2 linked regions of the Astyanax mexicanus genome follow. The protein of the gene in region 1 interacts with the protein of each later gene in a biochemical or structural test. Links are inferred from orthologs where the notes say so. Each region holds a gene or a part of one and is shown in the gene's direction. Other genes may lie near its edges. The genes, in order: hnf4a and srebf2.

Region 1 (10,748 bases):
TGATTAATTGAAAAGCTGATTCTCTTGTTACCTGCTGGTCAGGGATTAGATAGGCTATTAATTAATGGCCCAGTTGGCAGCCATTGTAGTATATACAGCTCTGAAAAAAAAAAACATTAAAGTATGAGTTTCTTTGATTTTACCATATTAAAAACCTCTGGAATATAATCAAGAGGAAGATGGATGATCACAAGCCATCAAACCACCAAACTGAACTGCTTTAAAAAAAATTGCACCAGGAGTAAAGCAGCATAAAGTTATCCAAAAGCAGTGTGTAAGACTGGTGGAGGAGAAGAACATGATGCCAAGATGCATGAAAAAACTGTGATTAAAAACCAAACCAGGGTTTTTCCACTAAACATTGATTTCTGAACTCTTAAAACTTTATTTAGTAGTGAGTAGTGAAATTTCACGACTGGACTTGTTGTTGCACAGGTGCTGCATCCTACAGTATCACAGTACCACAGGCCTGGAGTTCACTGAGCTCCTGAGAGCCTGAGACCCATTCTTTCATTAAACCTTTTAAAGTAATAAGAGCTCATTTTTTCTACTGATTTTATGTGATTTAGATACTTTAATCATGTTTATTTTACTGTGTAGGAATGTTCAATATCATATATAAAACAAAAAATGTTAAACACTGGCTTTCCAATGTAATAGACAATGAAAATTGTAATAATAATATTTTATTTTATTTTATTTCATTTTATGGTATTCGTTTCTTCTTTTGTGTGCATTACAGGTTGAAAAAAGTTTTGTTAAATATTTTTTTTCCATTACTGGGACAAAACTAAGGATTGAAAGGGTTAAGAGTACTGAATTGAGAGTTGGTGGACTCCTATAATATACAGGACTAAATAGCTGTAAATGGCTGTAATTTGTCATTATGAATAATCTGGAAATGAAAAGTCTGGTTTATAAAGGTTAGCCTGGGTTACCGTGAGGCTTTTCCCATGTGATACATGTAGCTAACGATCTCTCCATTTATCTGGATCTACCTGGATTGAACACTCTGACTTGGCATGTGACGGAAAGAGCCATAACCTTGTGGATTAGATTTTATAGAGCCGTGGAGGCCGTTCACAGGGCTCTTGAGATTTAGGCTACGATAAAGACTTTAATGGTAAGCCAGATAAGATTTGCAGAACGTGAGTCACTCCTCACTGTTTCTGAGGCCAGAACAAATCTCCTGAGCAAATAAGGAGATGAGGAAGAGATTCCCAAAGACACGTTAAAGTTAGAGTTAGCACCTTAGCACTTGCTTAGATTAGACAGTTTACTTGAATTTCTTGCATCTTAATGTGCACAAAAAAGCAAAAGGCACTTTCAGAAATAAATCTATATATATAAATATATATGTATAATGAGACCACTGAAAAATGATGAGTTTCTTTGATTTTACCAAATTTAAAACCTCTGAAATATAATCAAAAGGAAGATGGATGATCACAAGCCATCAAACCACCAAACTGAACTGCTTGAATTAGTTTTGCACCAGGAGTAAAGCAGCATAAAGTTATCCAAAAGTAGTATGTAAGACTGGTGGAGGAGAACATGATGCCAAGATGCATAAAAACCAGGGTTATTCCACCAAATATTAATTTATGAACTCTTAAAACTTCTCAAATAAACATTTTCTGTAAATAAATGCTCTAAATTGCAATATTTCTATTTAGAATTTGGGAGAAATGATGTCTATATGTTCATTTTACTCAAATATAAACCTATAAATAGCAAAATCAGAGAAACTGATTCAGAAACTGAAGTGGTCTCTTAATTTTTTTTATCTATATCTATCTAAAATTTATCATTTATGATCATCATGTTAATAATAACTAAAACACACAAAACACATAAACAGGATTAGTCTCTTATGCATATCTAAATTATCAGTTGTCCGGCAAGTAAGTTCAGGTGTTTTCCAAGCAATTCTAAACAATACTGTACAGTAAATATAGTCTGCATAGTGTCCAGGGGGATCTGCAGAGCCATATAAATCAAGATCTTATCAAAAATGTTTTTACAAGCTAATCAAGATATTCCCATACTGACAAAAAATCAACCTAATTAGTAACCATTAATAAACTAATTGTAAACCATTTATAAACCCTTTATAAAGGTAGTCTTATTTTAATGTGGTATCGGATTTATTTTTAATTAAATGTACATGTCTTTTAGTAGTGATATACAGTAATTAATGGCATAATTCATACACATTCATTTGAGTTTGCGAGGCAAAAAAATTGCTATTGATAAAAAATACTATAAATTTATAATGTAATGTAAAAAAAAAAAATTAAGATCTAATGCATACATTTTAAATCAATAAATCAATTCAAATCTTAAGTCACTTTTAGCCTAAATTTGTATTTCTAAGTTTTGGATCTAAGTATTTTAAATCTAAAAAAAAAAAGTTATATGTTATATGTTATATATGAACTTTAAACAGTAATTTTCACCACTTTCAAAGTCAAAAAACAAAAAATCTTAGATAAAATTCTAATTTATGAATTACCACATATGTGTGTATATATATATATATATATATATATATATATATGTCACATTTTCCCAGTATATACAATACAGATCCAATACTTTGTCAGTTTTAAGCTCCATATCTTAACTGTAACTGCCTGTAAAATGTGTTATACAGTAAATTAAGTTGTTTAGCCTGGTTAAAAGAGGTTTTACTGCGTGTTTAGAGAGTTTACTTGGTCACCGTTTTGGGCAGCTCCTGTCCTCGTGCAGGCGTGTGGGTGGATGAGTGGTAGGTAAAGTTTTACTGTCCTGGTGGCCGTATGAACCGGAGAACGTTGACCTGTGGCTTTGTACTGTCACTTTCCCTTCTTCAAATATCTCCTGGGCTGTGTTTGCCTTGGCTCTGATGTGTGCGAGCTTGCTCCACTTGTTTACGTAAATGCTCCAATGCTTTACTTTTGGTTTTCCCTCAGATAACAAACATAACCTGCGTGTTAGCATATCAAATCAAATCAAATCAAGGTTTATTTGATTTATTTCACATGCAAAAGTCGTGAAATACCTGCTTATTTGTGGTTTCTTATGTAATCAATCATATTAAAGGCGAAATCCTGTGTAAAATTGACTTTTTGTTGTAGTAAAACTTGATAAAAAAGTTCTTACTTTTGATGATTAGCACACCTCCGTTCTCCCACAGCGTTCAGAGATCCAGAAATTGTAACAGTTTGTCCAAAAACCATTCAGATTGGGCGTCACGGGGCATAATAATTTGCCCCGATAAATTGCTTTTTACACCGTTATTCAAGCTCAAAGTAGCTCCACACCTCCTTGCTAGAATAAAAAAGTGCACAAGAAGCTTATTAAAAAATATAGACTCTGGAGTCTATGTATAATGTATATATATGTATATATGTCTGTCATTATCAGTACAGTGATGGCGGTGCTCTGAGCTGAAGCTAGCATTATAGGATGTAAACAGAGGTTTTTAAGAGTTTTTTTTATATGATACCATTAAATTATTAAAGAAGACTTTCTATACTATCAATGTTATGAATATCAAGTTATATTACTGTAGCATTTCGGACTAATTGGAGTAAAAATGGAGTAGGCCTATTCGGTTTTGCGTAAACCAGAGTTTGGAGCCCAATAAAACCAGCAAATTAAACTTGTATCAAATGACATCATGAAATGCTAGAAGAACCCTTTACAAACTATCAATGTTATTAGTATCAAGTGATTTTACTGCAGCATTTTAGAGTAATGCGAGGTCAAACTTTGGAAAAGTGCCTATTCGGTTTTGCACAAACCAAAGTTTGGAGCCAAATAAAACCAGCAAATCAAACTGTTATCAAATGACATCATGAAATCCTAGAAGTACAATTTACATGATATCAGTTGTATGAGTATTAAGTGATTTTACTGCAGCATTTTGGAGTAATGGGAGGTCAAACTTAGGAAAAGTGCCTATTCGTTTTTTTCCTAAACCAGAATTTGACACCACTCTATTTGTTTTAGACACAAATATCTGAAATTCACAATTATGAAAGCTGTTTGTTTTCTTCTAAGGGAAGAATTATGGGTGGGAAATTCTCATGTTAAAATGAAATGTGACTGTTTTCACTACATGAACCCACACAGCCATCATAAGCAGATTTCAGCCGAATCGTAATTAAAATACAGAGAACATGTACTGTAGGCTTCTTAAAGGAAAATACAGAAATGTTCTTCAGGATGTATTATATTACGTGGCCACAGAATCAGATTGAGAGCCAGCCAGCCTGATTTTCATGCTTAAATGATGTGTTTGCTAAGTCTCTGTTAATTCTTGCACAATAAACAACAGCAGTGACTCTGAGTAGCTGGAAAAATGCTGACCTTTATGTAAAAGAACTCTTTGTTCTACAGAAAACTCAAAGTTCCAACTATAGAGAACAGAATGGCCAACATTTATACTTTATGCCAAATTTAGTCATAACTAAAAACTGCAGTTTTGGGTGAAAAGTCGAGTCGCTGCTGCTGTACTGGATTGAGTACAGGATTGAGTCTTAAATATGTAGAAAGCTGAAGTACCTACAGAAGAAATTCCCCATCAAATACAATACAGACAAGACAAAAATAAACGACCACTTAAAAATTATTAGTTTCTTTGATTTTAGCTAATTGAAAACCTCTGGAATATAATCAAGAGGAAGATGGATGATCACAAACCATCAAACCACCAAACTGAACTGCTTGAATTTTTGCACCAGGAGTAAAGCAGCATAAAGTTATCCAAAAGCAGTGTGTAAGACTGGTGGAGGAGAACATGATGCCAAGATTCATAAAAACCAAGGTTATTCCACCACATATTGATTTCTGAACTCTTACAACTTTATGAAAACTTTATGTTTTCTTTGCATTATTTGAGGTCTGAAAGCTCCATAGCGCTAGATACGTTAGATCTCTGGGCGCCGCCATCACTGTACTGATCATGACTTAACTTTAAGCCCAGAGATGCACAGCATCTAATGCTACAAAAGAGTTGTAAAAAGTGGTTTTAATATGTTTTTCATGCACTTTTAAAGGTATTAATGCCTCGTTTTATATTTCAGAGCTCTCCAGATTTTACCAATGAGGTGTGGAGCTACTTTGAGCCTGGATAACGGTGGAAAAAAACGATTTATCGGGGCAAAATATGCCCTGAAGCGGCTGTTGTAAAGAGTGCTGGGCTTATAAGCACAAAATTACTGGGTCTTGGAAAGCTGTGGGAGAGCGGAGGTGTGCTATTCGACAAAAGTCAACTTATTTAAGCTTTTTTGCTTTTTTGATAAAATCTGATATTAAAAAGAGAGAAAGAGAGACTCACAGAAAGAGAGAAAGAGAGAGAGAGAGAGAGGCCTTGTTCATCTCTATCTCTAAAAAAAACAATCCATATTAAGCACTAAAGAAAAAAAAGCCAGACAATGATTAACCCAAGGGCCACCCCGCTCCAGAACTGGGGCCGTGGCCGAGGGGGCGGGGTCTGACCTGTCAGTCAAAGTCAGCCTCATCTTTGCCCCAGAGGACATGTCCCGTGTCACTCAGAGGTGTCTACCTCTGCGAGGGGCGGGGCTTGCTCTATGAGAGGGGGGGGTCCGGACTCCGGCGAGAGGACAAGTCTTTCCCCTCAGTGTCAGGCTAGCTGAGAATGCGTTTGTCCAAAGCTCTAGCAGACATGGAGATGGCAGACTATAGCGAGGCCCTGGACCCAGCCTACACCACCCTGGAGTTCGAGAACATGCAGGTGCTCGCCATGAGCACAGGTGAGTCACCCTGCAGACAAAGTTCAGGTCCCGGGCTGAACTTTGAGTCCTGAGACTTTTTATATAGGCTGGAGAATGTTTGGTCAAGCGTAGGATGATGAGGTTGGTTTAATGGGTTTTGGGCTGGTTTATAGACTTTATAGATTCCTTATACATTCCTTAGAGATGCCTCTGGATGGGATGACCTGTTTAGAACAGTATGCTTTATACTGAGTTATATTTATTATTTTATACTCTTATTTTAGTGTTTATACTGCCAACTTTTTTTTAAAAACAGGAGTTTTTAAAAAGTTTAATGCACTGGAGGAACCCAATAACCACAATAAGAATAAAGTGCTGTGAAATTTATAGGACTTTTTAGAAGAAAATGTTCCTTAAGTCACCTTTAAACACCACAAAATTATATTAATATATGATATTATGCATACACATATGCTTAGCCCAGTCCTGAAGTTGCTTAAAGCAGAACTCCAGTGTAAAATTAAAACTTTTCAGTGTAGTTAAACATGATAAAGAGTTTTAAACTTTGTTTTAAAGCCCAACAGCGCTCTTCTACAGCTTTCCAAGATCCATCAAATTTGTGCTTTTTTGCCCAGAACTCTTTACAACGACCGCTAATGGGGCATCCACTTGCCCCTGCAGATAAATCTTTTTTTTTTAAACAGTTATCCAGCTCAAAGTAGCTCCACACCTCATTGGTTGAATAGGAACATTGGTAGAAAACGCCTGACATTAAAAATGTGCACTTTTAAAGTTATCATTGCCTTGTTTTAAATGTCAATGGCTCTCCAGAAGGTCTTTCAGAAGGAAATGTTCCCAAGCTTTCCTAAAGCATTTTCCTCAAAGCATCTTTCAGATCTTGTAGATTCCCTAAAAGTTCCCCAAGGTATAAAAATGAAATGAAGCAAGACAGGATTAAATAAGCAAAGAACTAAAGAACTGAAGATCTGAACTGAGAGTCTGGAAGCTTTGGGAAAGATGAAAACTGCAAGCTCTGTCTTGTTAGGTGGACAGGCTCATCTTTCATTCCGTGTCAAAGTTACACCACTAAAAGTCCCACTGTGATTCCGTCCAGCTCCCTTTACCCTCCGCTTTCTTTGGTCGGTTGAGGATAAAATGTCTCTTCAGGGTTGAGTTTCCAGAGATAGCTGACAGCTAGATAGATGGACATCAAGCGTAGAAGATGTTGTGGAAATACTTCACAGCTTAGTTTCCCATGTCTGAACGTCATGAGAAACTGACTCGATTATATAAGTATCTGCAAAATCTGTTAAATAAGTTAAAAAAGTACCAACAATTCATTTCTTAGCCTTTCTTCTTTTAAGGTGCTTGAACATCTGGATGCTCTGAGGAACTTTAATGGGGTTTTAGGGCTGGAAAATATATTATTAATTTATTATAATGAAATATTTGCATATATTGCACTATATCGAAAGATTGCTTTGATGCTTTGCTGGTTAAAATATGTGTTTATTATGGATTAATAAAAAAAGAAATAATAATATGCATTGATTGTGCAACGTGGAAACGGTTTGGTTCCCAAAGAAATGATACTCAAATGAGAGTAGTCTTGTAAAAATAATGTAATTTAATGACATCACACTTAATTGTTTTTCACGTTAAATAAGTAAGTAAATACTGATACTTTTCTCTCGATCAGTATGATGTCAGCAATTTAAAACTCCTTACTTTATGTTTATTTGATGAATTATCAGCACTTGTATCATTATTATAATGGTATAATAGTATTACATAAGTATTTAAAGTGTTGTGTCTATTTTAAGTGTTAAGTTAGGGGGCGTTTAGAAAAAGACCTCAACATGTGTTGAACATTACCACAAAAATGTGTGTAAAAAAATTGATATTTCATATAAAACAGCCTTAATAACAAAGACATTGGGATTGAAACATTTGAAACATTACATTTTTTACATATTCATTGAATTAATCACTTTATAGGGGATTTTAAACACTATATAGGGTCAAATTGACCCCAAAGATAATACGAGATTTAATCATATATATACTTAAGTCCAGAACTACTGGATTTACAGTGATTTCTTAGATGATTAGTTTTTAATTAGGCTACGAATGATGATTTAATTGAGTTTAATTACTCTGGTTCCCAATCCTCTCACACTGCTGTTGTTTTCTCCCATTCAGATAATCAGTCAATCGCAAATCAATCAACTGAAACATCTACACATCTATCGTGCTTCCCTTTGATCATCTTTGATCAAGTACTTTGGTTTTAATGGGTTTTAAGCACTTTTTAAGACTATTACATCGAATAAGACGTAATAAGAACATATTACACTTAATATTATACAATTAATTAATCATTGAATCAATCAAGCTGAATTTGTATTTGTTTTTCGATAAATCATGTTAAAATTCAAAGTGCTTCACAAGAAAATAAGAAATATTCTAAAAATTCCAAAAAAATGGAGATGGATAAAAAGAAGGATAGTAAAATAATAGAAATAAAAATTAAATAATACAGTTAAGATAATACAAACAATAAAAACAAAGATTAAGAAATTAAGTATTGCATTAAGTAAATTTTTCTTAATTTTTTAATTTATTTAAAATATTCAATTTTATCAGTAATAAAATAGCAAAAAATAAAAAAGAGAATAAAATAAATATTTAATAATAATTTTAACTAATACAATCCAAAAATACCATCTGTAAAACTATTTAAAAATCTAGACTGAATGAATATAATATAATATATTATAATATTTTAATTTGCATTTTAAAAATTCTATTGGTTTAAAGTGTAAAAAAACAGCTTCATTAACCAAAAGCATTTTTGATTATATATATATAAACTTATAAACTTATAAAATATAGTTAAAATCCATTGAATAAGCTAAGAAGTGGTCATTTAAAAGACTTTAAATAGGTGTAAATTTTGCTCTTCCTTCAATATTTTGAGATACTCAGCAAAAAAAATTGTATTTACAGCAGCAGGATTGAGGCCTATGTTATGGATTATGTTAATAAGGCATGTTAATTCAGTTAATTCACTCGAGCTGTATTTATTTCAGATGTCCGTCTCCGTGTTTTCCAAGTCATTAAGCTCCTGAAGTCTTACTCACGCTCACGTTTATTCACGCATTCTTGAGTAATGATTAGTTCTATTAGCAGAGCTCTGCTGCCGCTCAGTTCCTGCAGTTTTAGCAGTTTATAATCACATCTGGATTACTCCGCAAACACTCCTCCACTGCACATTTTCATGAGAGTGATTTATGGCTAATTGATTGCAGCGTGAAATTGGTCTCTTCAAAGCGTTTTACAGCCTGGCCGTGACCTTTAACCCGTTTCCGCTTTAAATTTGCTGGAGCTGAATCTCCGTTATCTACTGGAGGATCACATATATCCTTTTTTATCATTTAAAACACTAAATAAACTCAAGTAATTAAGAAAAAAATTAGAGATTAAATTAGATTTAAACTGATTTAAAAGCCATTATATGTTAAGTTTTTAAACATTAGGTTCATAATTCTGTTGTTAATCATAATAAAGAAGCTTTTTCACCTTTTAAAACTTCTATAGCACATTTTGGAGTCCCACAAGGCTCCGTTTTTGGACCTATGAAGTTGATGTTCATTTTATAAGTACTGCAGATAATGGACATCAGATACATTCTTTAGCTTTTTTCACTTTTTCAATTTGCTTTGATCTGAAGTAAAAAAAAAAACACTTTGTCTGTTCATGCACTTCATATCCATGTAGTGTAAAGTCCAAAAAACTTCTGCCATTTTTTCTAATATCAGTTACAATTTAGCATTAAAGACTACCTATTACATAAAGCTTTACATTAAGATTTGCCAAAAGAAGCTCAATAATCAGAGCCTTGGATTGTTAAAAAAACAAGTTGGTGGGTTTGATACCCAAGCCACTGTTCTAAAGCAAAGCCTCTCTATATGCCGCAGTGGTGGGTGCCCACTGCTTCAGACATGTGTGCTCACTGTTACCACTCAAAAGATTGGAAACACTTTTGCGTTCAATCTTCTTATTTTTCATTTTTTACCTACATTGAATAGTAAATGAATAGGGAAGTCATTTAAACTACGAAGGAACACATCAGGAATCATGTAGTAACTCCTAAACTTGTCCTGTGCAATGGGGCTGTCCTGATGAGAGCCAGTTTCATCATAACGTTTTTTTTTAAGGTCTTCACGACTGCACCTGAGGATCACTGTGTAACTTTTAATATATATATATATTTTTTTTTTTATTGTTTCAGACTCCTCACCAGCTGAGAGTGCCAACATGAACGCTGCCAGCCACCTGGGTGCAGGTAGCCTGTGCGCCATCTGTGGGGATCGGGCAACCGGCAAACACTATGGGGCGTCCAGCTGCGACGGCTGCAAGGGTTTCTTCAGACGCAGCGTCCGCAAAAACCACATGTACTCCTGCAGGTCAGAACTGTACTTCATAAACAGCTCTTACAGATCTTATTATAGGGATATACTGAAATGATTATTGATAATATTTTTATTAATTTTGCTACATTTGCCATATTTTTCACCTAAAGGCCTAAATGTATTTCTGTCTTGCTTTTCAAAGGAAAAAAGTTTACAAAAATAAAATATTTAAAATAAAAATATTAATTGTAAGTACCAACAAAGCACATTATGACTTAAAATAAATAAGCCCTTTTTAAGCCATAATTATTTTTTTTTTTTACTTATTTGGCACAAAAAAAGGCTTTTTGACACATTTTTGTCTGAATAATTTTGGTTGCCAAGTATTCTGTGCATCCCTACTTACCCTACTTAAACTATGATTGCTTAAATATGAATACTTCTAATTATTTTGTTCTCTTTATGTTGGTTACAGGTTTAACAGACAGTGCATAGTGGACAAAGATAAGAGAAACCAGTGCAGATACTGTAGACTAAAAAAATGTTTTCGGGCCGGAATGAAGAAAGAAGGTTTGTATCCATTCCCTGATTTTTATAACACCTTTTAGCA
Region 2 (11,102 bases), on another chromosome or scaffold:
TCTTATTTTTTTCCAGAGCTGTATAGCAACAAAATATCGCAATATGATGTTTTTCTGCTGTTTACAGCTGTAGGACATACACAGTATATCCTGTTTGACATTACGAGGTAAATATTTTAAACCTTAAAAAGCTGTCACACACTCCTCAATCAGTGGTCTGGGCTTTACTTCAAGTGCACTTTGGTGTGAAGCTATCCGCTCCCAGTGCCATGTGTGTGGTCGTGTAATGGGTTAATTTTGTAACATGCATCAGGATATCCTAATAAAGCACACTGTGATATGATCTCTGTATCGTTGCAGCTCTAGTCCACACTGAAATTGCTAAGTGTGTGACGCTGAGTGCTCCTGGCCCCCACGCCTTCCTGCTGGTGGTCCCGCTTGGACGCTACACAGAGAATGAGAACCGAGCTGCCCGAGAGATGCTCCAGGTGTTTGGGGAAACGGCTCTACAGCGCCACACAGTGGTGCTCTTCACCCGTGGAGATGACCTGGAGGAGGGTGGTGGTGGGATAGAGGGGTTTCTAGGTCGGGAGGAAGTTCCTAGAGAGCTGAGGGATCTGCTGCAGACCTGCGGGGGGCGATACCACGTACTAAACAACAAAGAAATGGGAGATAGAACACAGGTAAATAAATGTAATCATTTTGATGGTGTATTAGATCTGGCTGATGTTAAAAGAACACTGGAAAATTGCATGTATATTCACAAAGAAAGCAAAACTGCTTATTTTACTGCAGTGGTTTTATGATGTCCTGCTTTTGTTCTAAAGGTAAAAATGCTACTCCAGAAGGTGGAGAAGATGGTTCAGGAGAACGAGGGGCGGTTCTACACCAGCGCCATGTTCCAGCAGGCCGAACTCGCCATCCGAGCAGAAGAGGAGAGACTGATGAAAGAGAGAGGACAAGGAGAGGGAGAGGAGGTGGAGAGACCGGATGGAGGGTTAGCGATAGCTAAGAGAAGACGAACGGAGCTGGAGCAGGGCTTGAGACGGAGAGAGGTGGAGGGAAGACATGATGAGGGGGTGGAGGAGAGGGGGAGGGATGGAAGGATGAGTGAAGGGAGCTGGAGGGAGAGAGAGCGGAGGAGAGGAAGCAGGCGCCAGTCACTCCGATTAGCCGTTAGCCGCTTCCGCAGGGAAGCTGCTCTGTCTCAGAAGGTTCTAGACCAGGTGAAGGTGTTGGTTACAGCCGGAGCTACAGGCATGGCAGTGGGAGCGGTGTTTGGAGCTGCTGCCCCTCTGGCTATGGCAGCTGGAGCCTCCATGATGGGCAGCTCGGTGGGGCTGGTCGCAGGGCAGTTTGCTGGGGTGTCTGTGGCAGGGAGCGGGGTGGGAAAGGCTCTTGGCGCGATTGTAGCAGCAGCAACTGGGAAAACAGCGGTAGCCGTGGGGGCTGCTACTGGGGGGCTTCTGGGGGGATCAGTGGGAGCCTTGGCTGGGGCAGAAGCAGCCGGGCCTAGAGAGGCAGCACTGGAAGCTCTAGAACAGGTTGGCACAGTGGGTGCTATAGTGGTGGGCGTGGCTGCAGGAGTTGGTGGGACTTTAGGGGCGGGAGCAGCTATAGGGGCGATGCTTGAGGGTGGGGCTGCAGTCGGAGGAGCAGTTGGCATCGCTAATGCTACGGCTGTCGCTGCACCAAATGCTGTAGTCGCTGGGGGTGCTGCTGCAGAGGGTGCTCTGGCTGCATCGCAGGCTGTTGCCACCGGGGGCGTTGTGCAGACAGTAGGGGGCGCTGCATGCAGCGGTCAGAATGCTTTGGCAGCTAGCAGCGGGCTAACAGGTGCTCTGAACACGGTGGGAACTACAGCACGGATCATCACGGCAGTGACGGAGATCGGAAAGGCAGCGGTGGGAATCGTGGTGGCCGGAGGGCTGGTGGTGAAGGTGGTGAAGGAGAAGGTTCGGTCTGCAGCTGGAAACACGGAGAGACATTCCTACGAGATTTACTGGAACAAATGAGGGACTGTGCTAAAAGACGTAGCCTTGGAGAACAAAACATAGAGATGATGCACTGTCTTAAGCCCTATCAAGACGAGATTAGTTTCTCAGGGGTTCTGAGGTAATTTTCTCTCAGAGGGGGTTCTCTGAGATAATTACAGGCTAAATTATCTACTGTTTTTCACTAAACTCCATGGTCGTCTGGAAACTGTAGTCCTGTCCAGACGCACATCTCCAAGTTTTGTCACTTTTCTGTTTAATAAAATAGCCATTTGTGCGTTTCCGCGGAGATCCACGTAAACACAACAGCGAGTGGAAATGGAGGAGCTACTGAACGCGATGTCATGTGACCGAAAAAGCCAAAAAACTCACTGGCTCCCCCTTTTTTTTATTGCAGTCCGGATGCAAGAGTTTTATCACTGAGTAGAAGTGTGAAATATTTTTCACAGACATCCCCCTGAGAAACTAATCCCCTCCGGATTGGGCTTTAACCTGCTTTTCCATCGCTTTTTAATCGATGCTATCCAACCCCAGTTTTTTAAACTGGGTTCCATTATTAATGCACTTATTATGCCGCAGTAACTAACAGGGGTATGCATTTCAACCAAAATCTGAATTTAATTATTCACCAGATGTTCACCAGAAACTGCTTAATTGTTTAGTTAAGATGAGAACTGAGTGATTCAGAGTGGCGTTTGGTGTAAAATGTTCGGTTCAAGATAATTTTACCCAGTTACAGTAGTATAGTGTAGAGAGGTAGTGAATGGAAGCAGAACATCTGAAGCTGTACAGCTCCTCACATAAAGTTATTGCAACAAACGTATTCTGAGAATTTTCACACAAAAGGTAAAGAGACCCAAATCAAATTTTCTCACCTAATACGATGTTTACTTTTAGGCTGTTCACACTTATCTTTTTGATGTGATCTATACAGTATTTAGTATTTGGACAAATTATTCCTTTACTTTGGTTTCAGCCAAAAACTTGCATTTTGGTGCATTTCTACTATTTTAGTAAAGGGGTTTGCTCTTAAATATTTACCTGAAGCTCATATTTACACTGCACTTCATTTAAAAAACAAAACATCAAAAAATGATTGATTACCGACTCAGACGATCAGTCCAGAACTGGTTGGGTATTAATTACAGTGGGAGTGTGATGTAGAGCAGAACTGGAGCAGATGTGGAGATCAGATGTAAAATGCTGGTGCTGAGTACAGTATTATGTACTGTGGTGACGTGCCTTCAGACGGGTGTGTGTATGCCTCTACTGGAACAGTCTGCTGATCTGAACTCAATAAAGCCTGTTTTTCTGGACCATTGTGTGTGGGTGTGTTCTGATGGCCACTAACTAATTACTGTTATTACTGTATTACTACTCATGCACACACTGGCGTAGGAACCGGGGGGGATGGGTGGGACATGTCCCACCCAATATTGGAAACAGGTGGATTTGTCCCACCCAAAAATGATATCGTTTCGCTCAGATCAGCTGTACTATTAATGAGGAGACAGACCGGACCAATCACGGAGCCGGCTCAGGTATTAAGTCCCGCCTCTCAGTAGAAACAGCCAATCCGTTTTGCGGCTCGCAGAGGACCGGCAGTTTGCTGTTGGGGAAGCCCCGCCCCCTCGCTGTGAGATTTAGCAGCGGGATCGGGACGCAGCTTCAGCTGATTTTAAAACGGATCTGGATATACGGAGATTTTTCTAAAAGAAAAGTAACGATAGGCTAACCACATAAACTGTGATAAGTTTCTGATAGCTGGTTAAAAATACACGACTCTAAATCAGCACACAGATTAAACACACTGTGATTAATAAACTGCAGCTGTGTAAGTGAGTTAGCTTGGAATTAGTTAGATTGGAAGTCAACGTTAAAGAAAAAATAAACTATTTATGTAATGTTCAACTTGCCCTGTACCTGATCAGCTAATCACTATTTCATTTTTAAACTGTCTTTATTAATTTAGGATTAATTTAGCTAACTAGTTGGCTAGAAGCTGGATGTAGAGGATAGCCAGAATGTAGTACAGTACTTTATGTTTGTAGTTTAAAGCAGTTTCTTAACCCTGATCACCGCCCCAAAATTGTGTTTTCCACCTGATCCAGCTGATCAGCTAATAAACAGTCATTTACTGAGTTTACTGAGTTTAATCATGTATATCCAGCAGTGTATTAGACACATCATACCACCACTTACTTTAATAAGTGCCTTTAAAGCAGAGGAAGCTCTAGAATATGTAGAACAGTGTTAATATTCAGTAGAATATGTAAGAACAGGGTTCACAGTAAGGCCACATGTCCTTTATGAAACGTAAAGTTACATTCTTTTACATAAAAGGACACCAATCTTTAGAAGAGCTCTCAGTAGAAAAAAGCGTAGGATTTTTTTTAAAGAGTGGAGAAAATGTAAATATACAACAGAATTGACATGCCAATACATGATTATAATAATAATAATAATAATAATAATAATAACCAAATCTGTTATATTATTTTAAATATTAGGTGATAACTGATCATTTTTGTATGTATATGTATATGCATATTTTTTTCTTACAACAGTAAATGTAATGTGGAGTAACATGTTTAGGTTGTAAAATCACCTTGTTAACTAATAAAAAACAAAATACAGAAAAAAATGATTATTTGTGATTAAAAGTAATTTCCACAAATGTTGTTCTAAGAAACTATTGGGTGGGCTTGGGTTCATATTGGCAAATATGTCCCCCCCAATATCAAACCTGCTCCTACGCCCTTGCATGCACACACACACAACCAGCAGGTGGTTTTCACCCACCCACTCCTGTATATCTCCAGCACAGATAACAGAATTATATTTACTTTTCCTGTTTTATAGCACAGATAACCCTGTGTATTAATAAAATTTAATGGTCAGGGTTTAAACAGGGCTGTACAGGATGTGATGCACATTATAAAACACTAACTTAAGGAAATGAAGCCCTGAGTACATTAATTAATTATACATACAGCTCTGGAAAAAATAAGAGAGCATTTAAAAATTACAAGTTTCTTTGATTTTACCAAATTGAAAACATCACAAGCCATCAAACCGAGCTGAACTGCTTGAATTTTTGCACATGGATTGGCATAGTCATAGTATCCAAAAGCAGTGTGTAAGACTGGTGGAGGAGAACATGCAAAGATGCAGGGTTATTTCACCAAATATTGATTTCTGAACTTGTTTTCTTTGCATTATTTGAGATCTGAAAGCTCTGCATCTTTTTTGTTATTTCAGCCATTTCTCATTTTCTGCAAATAAATGCTCTAAATTACAATATTTTTATTTGGAATTTGGGAGAAATTTTGTCCATAGTTTATGGAATCAAACAACAATGTTTATTTTACTATAAATAGCAAAATCAGAGAAACTGATTCAGAAACTAAATTGGTCTCTTATTTTTTTTTCTACAGATCTATATTGTTAAGACATCACAGAACTCCTTTTTCTTATATTATGTATTGTCTAACAATTAGAACAATTATAATACTTTTATTTCCAATAATATAAACTTACTATTGATGGTAGGAATCTTACAATAAAATGTAAAAATACATGTGTAGTAATCAATTATATTCTTCTGAACCTATAAACCTATTAAAATAATATTTCTGTTGAACATGTACTTCAAGATAAAAAAATACTAATAATGTAAACTTCTTTTTACTGACAATTCTTATAATATGAACCTGAACACTGTTACTCATTTAATATAACCTACTGCTTAAAATATTATGGTGCTATAAAACTTATTAAAATATTATTTGTGTTGAACTTGTGCCCTGTAGAACAATTATTATAAACACACTAAACTTAAAAAAAAAAAAATTATTTTACTATACCTTTATAAACATGCTATTACATAGTGTACGCCTACTATTAATACAAAACTATTATATGTAGCTATAAAACTAATTATACATTTATTGTTACTATATCATATCCTGTTAATATATGGTATTTCTACACTACAACGCTCTAAATCTATTTTTATCTGAATTTATGTTTTTATGAACCTGTTTTAGAGTATTTAGATCTGAGTTAGAATAATGTTTGTGTTTGGAGTTGGCGATGATGTAACACCAACATAACAGAGGAGTAGCTCCGCCCATCCGCCTCAGATACATGAATATTCATGAGATCCCGCTTCAGAGCAATAGGCGAAACCAGAGTAGGCGTGGCCAGCAGTCTGAGGCGGGTCGTATTCAAATCACAAAGCGCCTCTGCTCATCGACGTACTATCAGACCACGGAGCGGCGGGCGCTGTGATTGGTCGACTCTGCCTGGTCTCACTCCGCGGCCGAGCCAATCAGGCGTCCCCGGGGCGCATGACGTCGACGTTGTGGAACAAGATGGCTCCGTTTGTTTTGTGAAGGGGGTTCTGACGGTTCAGCTCAGCGATGCGGACAGGCCCGGTTTGGGGTATTTTGGGGTGTTTTCAGGGTCGGTTTTAAGGCTAAAACACACCCCCACTCCTCAAACACACAGGCAGAGCGGGCACCGCCTCCTCTGCTGCCCGACCCGCCCGGGGAGACACCGGAACCGGGGACGCCGCTGGTATGGACGGCGGAGAGTACCTGTCAGCCATGGAGAACATGGACCCGACCCTGTCCGAGCTGGGGGACGAGTTCACCCTCGGGGATATCGACGGTAAACAGACCGGGCTCTGCTGTGGTCGTGTCTCTAGTGTCTGAGCGCTCTGTGCGCTGTTTAGTGCGTTATATGCTATGTTCTGTGTGTGTAACCGGGGTGTGTACAGTAGTGAGACAGGTCAGTCAGTCAGTCAGATGGTGATAGTAGTAGTAGTAACGTTACTGCATTATCATAGTTTATATACTCACTTATACACTGTGTAGTACACTAAACAACTACAATACACTAAGTGTGTGTGTGTGTGTACAGCCCCCCAAAAGTTTGGGCACATCTTTTTTTCCCCACATTGTAAATTAATATTGAAGTCATCCACACTATAAAGGAACACATAAAAAATAATGTAATAACTTTAAATTGTTAAACAAACCAAAATACCAGGTGGCTCTTATCTGTGATGCTGTTAACTTGCAGTTCCTGAGGCTGGTAACTTATCCTGTGGGGCCCGTCCTAATGAGGGCCAGTTTCATCATGTTTTTGATGGTCTTCAAAGTTCCTGAAATTTTTAAGATTGACTGATGTTTATCATTGACGTTCAATTTTTTAACTTATTATTTTATTCTTTACTTAGTTAAGTAATTATTTTTATAATATGGATTAGAACTATATATGGATTAATTAAGCCAACTCTGCCTCTTTACAACTTTTCGACTGATGCTATCAAACACACTAAGAGGCAAGAAATTTAGGTTATATAATATATACAGGCTAATAGACTTGTTTAGTACCCTAAGCTCTGTATATACAGACTTATTTCCCTAGCTATAATGTACATAATGTATATACGGGCATATAGACTTATATAGTACACCAAAAGTGTATATACAGGCTTATGTTCCTAGCTATAGAGTACACTACAAAGAGTGTTTATACTGGCATATAGTTGTATTATAGTACACTTTACATACTTTTTTGAACACTAGATACTGTTTATACTAGCTTATACATCTAGTAATATAGTACACATAATAGTTACTAATTGTACGGTATACTATACAGTGTACATACTGTCTTGTAGACCAATATAGTACACAACATTTTGTATAAATGGCTTATAGATTTACAGTATAAAGTACACACTTAAGTATATATGCTGGCTTTAACACTTTTAAAGTACACTACATAGAGTGTATAGTGGCTTATACATATTATTATATTCTTCTATAATATTCTTCTCTACATTTTCTCTATATACTATATTATCCTCCTTTTACCCTGTTCTTCAGTGGTCAGGACTGCGACCGTAAGGTGGTGGTGTGTCGGTGTGTGTTTTGCTGGTATGAGTGGGTTAGACACAGCAGTGCAGCGTATCTATTGAAACTCTGTATACAGTATTGACACCTTCCTAAAATAATTTATCAAGTTTTTCAGGAAACACAAAAAAAACTATTTAAAAATGAGCAGTGGTTTAAAATGATAGTTTATCATACAGTCTCGCAGTAGAACCAGAAACAATACTAATTGAAAATTCTGAAAATATTGATTGAAAAGACAGAAAACAATTATGATTTTAACCAGCCACAAATTATAGAGCATTTCTATGTAGCTTTTGGACTTAGCTATTTCGCAGACTAAAATTCAGACAAAAAAAATCAATAATAAGCCTAAACAACAATGCAATATTCATAACCAACATTCTTTAATAATACGAACTACACAATTCTCCTCACTTATCAATTGAGGATGAGCTGTAAATTGTGTAAATTAGTTCAGTAAAGGAGCCTGGTATTGGAAATCTATGAAAATATTATTTTATTTTGACTGAGGCTTAATGAATTAGCTTAAGTCACACTCTTGACACAGGCCATTATCCTAAAGAGGTAGAATCAAATGATATGATCAACTGAGGGTGTAGGCAATTTTACAACATATGGCCATGCAGCAATATTAAGACATGATTTAGACAAAAAAAAAAAGTATTTTTTACAATTTTTTATTATTTTAGGAAGGTGTATAGTGTCAATCATAGGGCATATAACCATAACTCTTACAAAGGGGACATTATAAAGCATATATTGACCACCCATGTGGTCCTTTGTATTGTCTGTCTGTATGTACTGTAGTAGTAGTAGTAGTAGTAACAGTAATATATTGTACAGACAGTAGGCTTTCGTGTTACGGTTGTGCTTTTGTTTGTTCTGTCGACTTTAGCTCCTGACGGGGCTCATTTACCTCAGGGCAGTCGAGCTCAGGCAGATGGGGATGGGGGTCATTAGTGCAGATACAGCAGGTTATTACTCAGTAACTACAGCGGGGTGATGTGTACACTCTTATGCACTCCCAGGAGTGCAGAGATGAAGTGTGTACTGATGTTGGTGTGTGTTTAGCTGTGTGTGTAGACAGTGCACACTTACTGATCTCGGTTTTGAGAGCAGAATTGGGCATGCAGATTTACAGTGTTGATTTTTTGAGTATATTCTCTAAGTTAGACTGCAGGTTGAGTTTAGGCTCACTCTTCGGAAGTGTAGTAGTTTGTACTCACTTTGTCTGGGTGGAGTTAAGATGAAACACACAAAGTCTATCTTTCATATTGGCTTCTGGCAGCATTTATTTGCATATTGGTTGTGTGTAGTCTTGCCAATCAGGGCTATATTTGCTGGGTATTCAGTTATATTTTATATAATGGCTGATTGTCTGTCTACAATGTTTTAGACCATAAGAGCAAGTTACGCTTTTCTTAAATATAAAGTATGACTATAAAGTGGTGTGTCTTTCTCAGAACATCCTTGAACTCAGACGGAGTGCAGGTGTTCAGTTCTTCGGTGCAGGTCTTATCAGATCTGTTATCAAACTTGTCTCACATCTGCTATCAGACAGATAGTGCCACATCAATAAACTCTTGCTAATAATAAAGATGATCACACAGTAGACATTAGTGTATCTGGCCATGTTTTGATGGCACACTTTGATAGAGAACAGTATAATGGAAGGACAGCAGTGTGACCTCGGTTAGTGAGATAGTGGGGCTAATTGATTAGATAGCGTTTGATTATTGCTGCTGTATTACCAGTTCTGACCATAACATTAGTAGTTGGCCTGCAGACGTGTGGAGGCGTGTGGAACGTGTGGTGCATGTGTTCGAGGCTGAAAGTTCAGGGTTAGTGGTGACAACTGATTGTAAGGTTTCTGCGCTCAACTTTGCTTTCTGCTGCCAGAAATTGATAGTAATGCTGTCTAATGTTTAAAAGTCTAAAGTGTAAATAAATGTTTTGGGGTATTATTTAGTGATGCTACTTTACCACTTTCCTACTGTTGAGGTCAGAATGTAGATTACTTTTTACCAGGGCTGTCAATGTTAACGTGTTAACGCACACAATTCTTTTGGAATCAGTAAAGAGTTATTATTTTTAGCGCAAATTAATTAAACCACAAAGTTTGCCCCTGTCGTAACTTCCACCATAATATGCCCCACCTCCAGCCAACATGCAGATTTCATACATACTTTTTAATTGAGCTAAACAGTTTAGTCTGATATATTAGCCAGATGATATACTGCTATTAACAAACGCTGTCTCTGCTGCTCCATGCTGTTTACACATGCAGTAATGTACAGCGTTCACTGCTCGCAGCTGCACTGCACCTGCCATTAAAAATACTGTGTTTAAAAGCTCAGTTACAAATTCTCAGCATTCTGTTTTAAAACAGATTCATACTGCACAGATATATACGCGCTGGAACACAGAATCTTCACGCTATATTTACTTTCTTGCTCCTGCACCAGACAGTTCTGGCCAATCAGAGGAGACAACGTGCTTGCATGGGTTATTGGTGCGCATTTTGGTGCGTTTAGGTTTATACCTGTGTGAAACCAAACCAAACAGAGGGAGATAACGCTCTAAATAAATAAACTGATCAACTGATCTGGACCATGTGTTCGGGGGCTGCTATTTTCATGGAGTGAAAGGTTTTCCAGCCCATGAAAATAGCAGCCCCCAAACACACAGTGGGAATAAAGTCCCTCTGTCTTCCACAGCAGCTAAACTTTGACAGAGCTCCACAGTAACATCTTATGAAAATGCTTGCAGATGCCAGTTACAATTCTGTATGTAAGAGTGTAGATATATCCTCAAATATGTCTTAAGTTTCAGACAAACATCAGCTGTGTTTACCAACAAGGTGAAAACTTTGTAGAGCTTTGCCTCAGCCCTCCACTTTTCATCTAAAAGAAAGTTCTCTAACCAAACTGGGTAAGGAAACAATCCATGTTAATGAATACATTATCTGATTCTGACCCTACTGAGGTAAATTTATTACAAGAGTAGCAGTGCTAAGGTAAATTTGTTACTGGAATAGCTCTAATGAGGTAAATTTGTTTGATTAGTAGTTCTGAGGGTTTTTTTTTTGTTAGAATAGCATTGCCGAGGCAAATATATGACTAAAAACTAATCTGACTAGATTAGCACTAGTAAATTTATGATTAGAATAATTGTATCTGTATTAGTACTACTGAATTAAATGTATAATAATTAGTATTGCACAACTTGGGGAAAATTG

What was found.
Region 2: the proteins of hnf4a (region 1) and srebf2 form a complex in vitro, tested with the Homo sapiens proteins (2 studies listed by BioGRID and IntAct). The link is inferred for Astyanax mexicanus from reciprocal best matches to the Homo sapiens genes HNF4A and SREBF2.

Annotation. Positions count from the first base shown.
Region 1 is NC_064420.1:2,566,118-2,576,865, reverse strand, and holds the start of hnf4a (hepatocyte nuclear factor 4-alpha), read left to right. Parts: upstream 1-5,604; 5' UTR 5,605-5,647; coding exon 5,648-5,762; intron 5,763-10,017; coding exon 10,018-10,192; intron 10,193-10,613; coding exon 10,614-10,708; intron 10,709-10,748. UniProt on the Homo sapiens protein: Transcriptional regulator which controls the expression of hepatic genes during the transition of endodermal cells to hepatic progenitor cells, facilitating the recruitment of RNA pol II to the promoters of target genes. Activates the transcription of CYP2C38.
Region 2 is NC_064410.1:8,705,566-8,716,667, reverse strand, and holds the start of srebf2 (sterol regulatory element-binding protein 2), read left to right. Parts: upstream 1-6,295; 5' UTR 6,296-6,517; coding exon 6,518-6,608; intron 6,609-11,102. Other genes in the region: uncharacterized protein LOC111188799, read left to right, coding at 301-623, 768-1,955.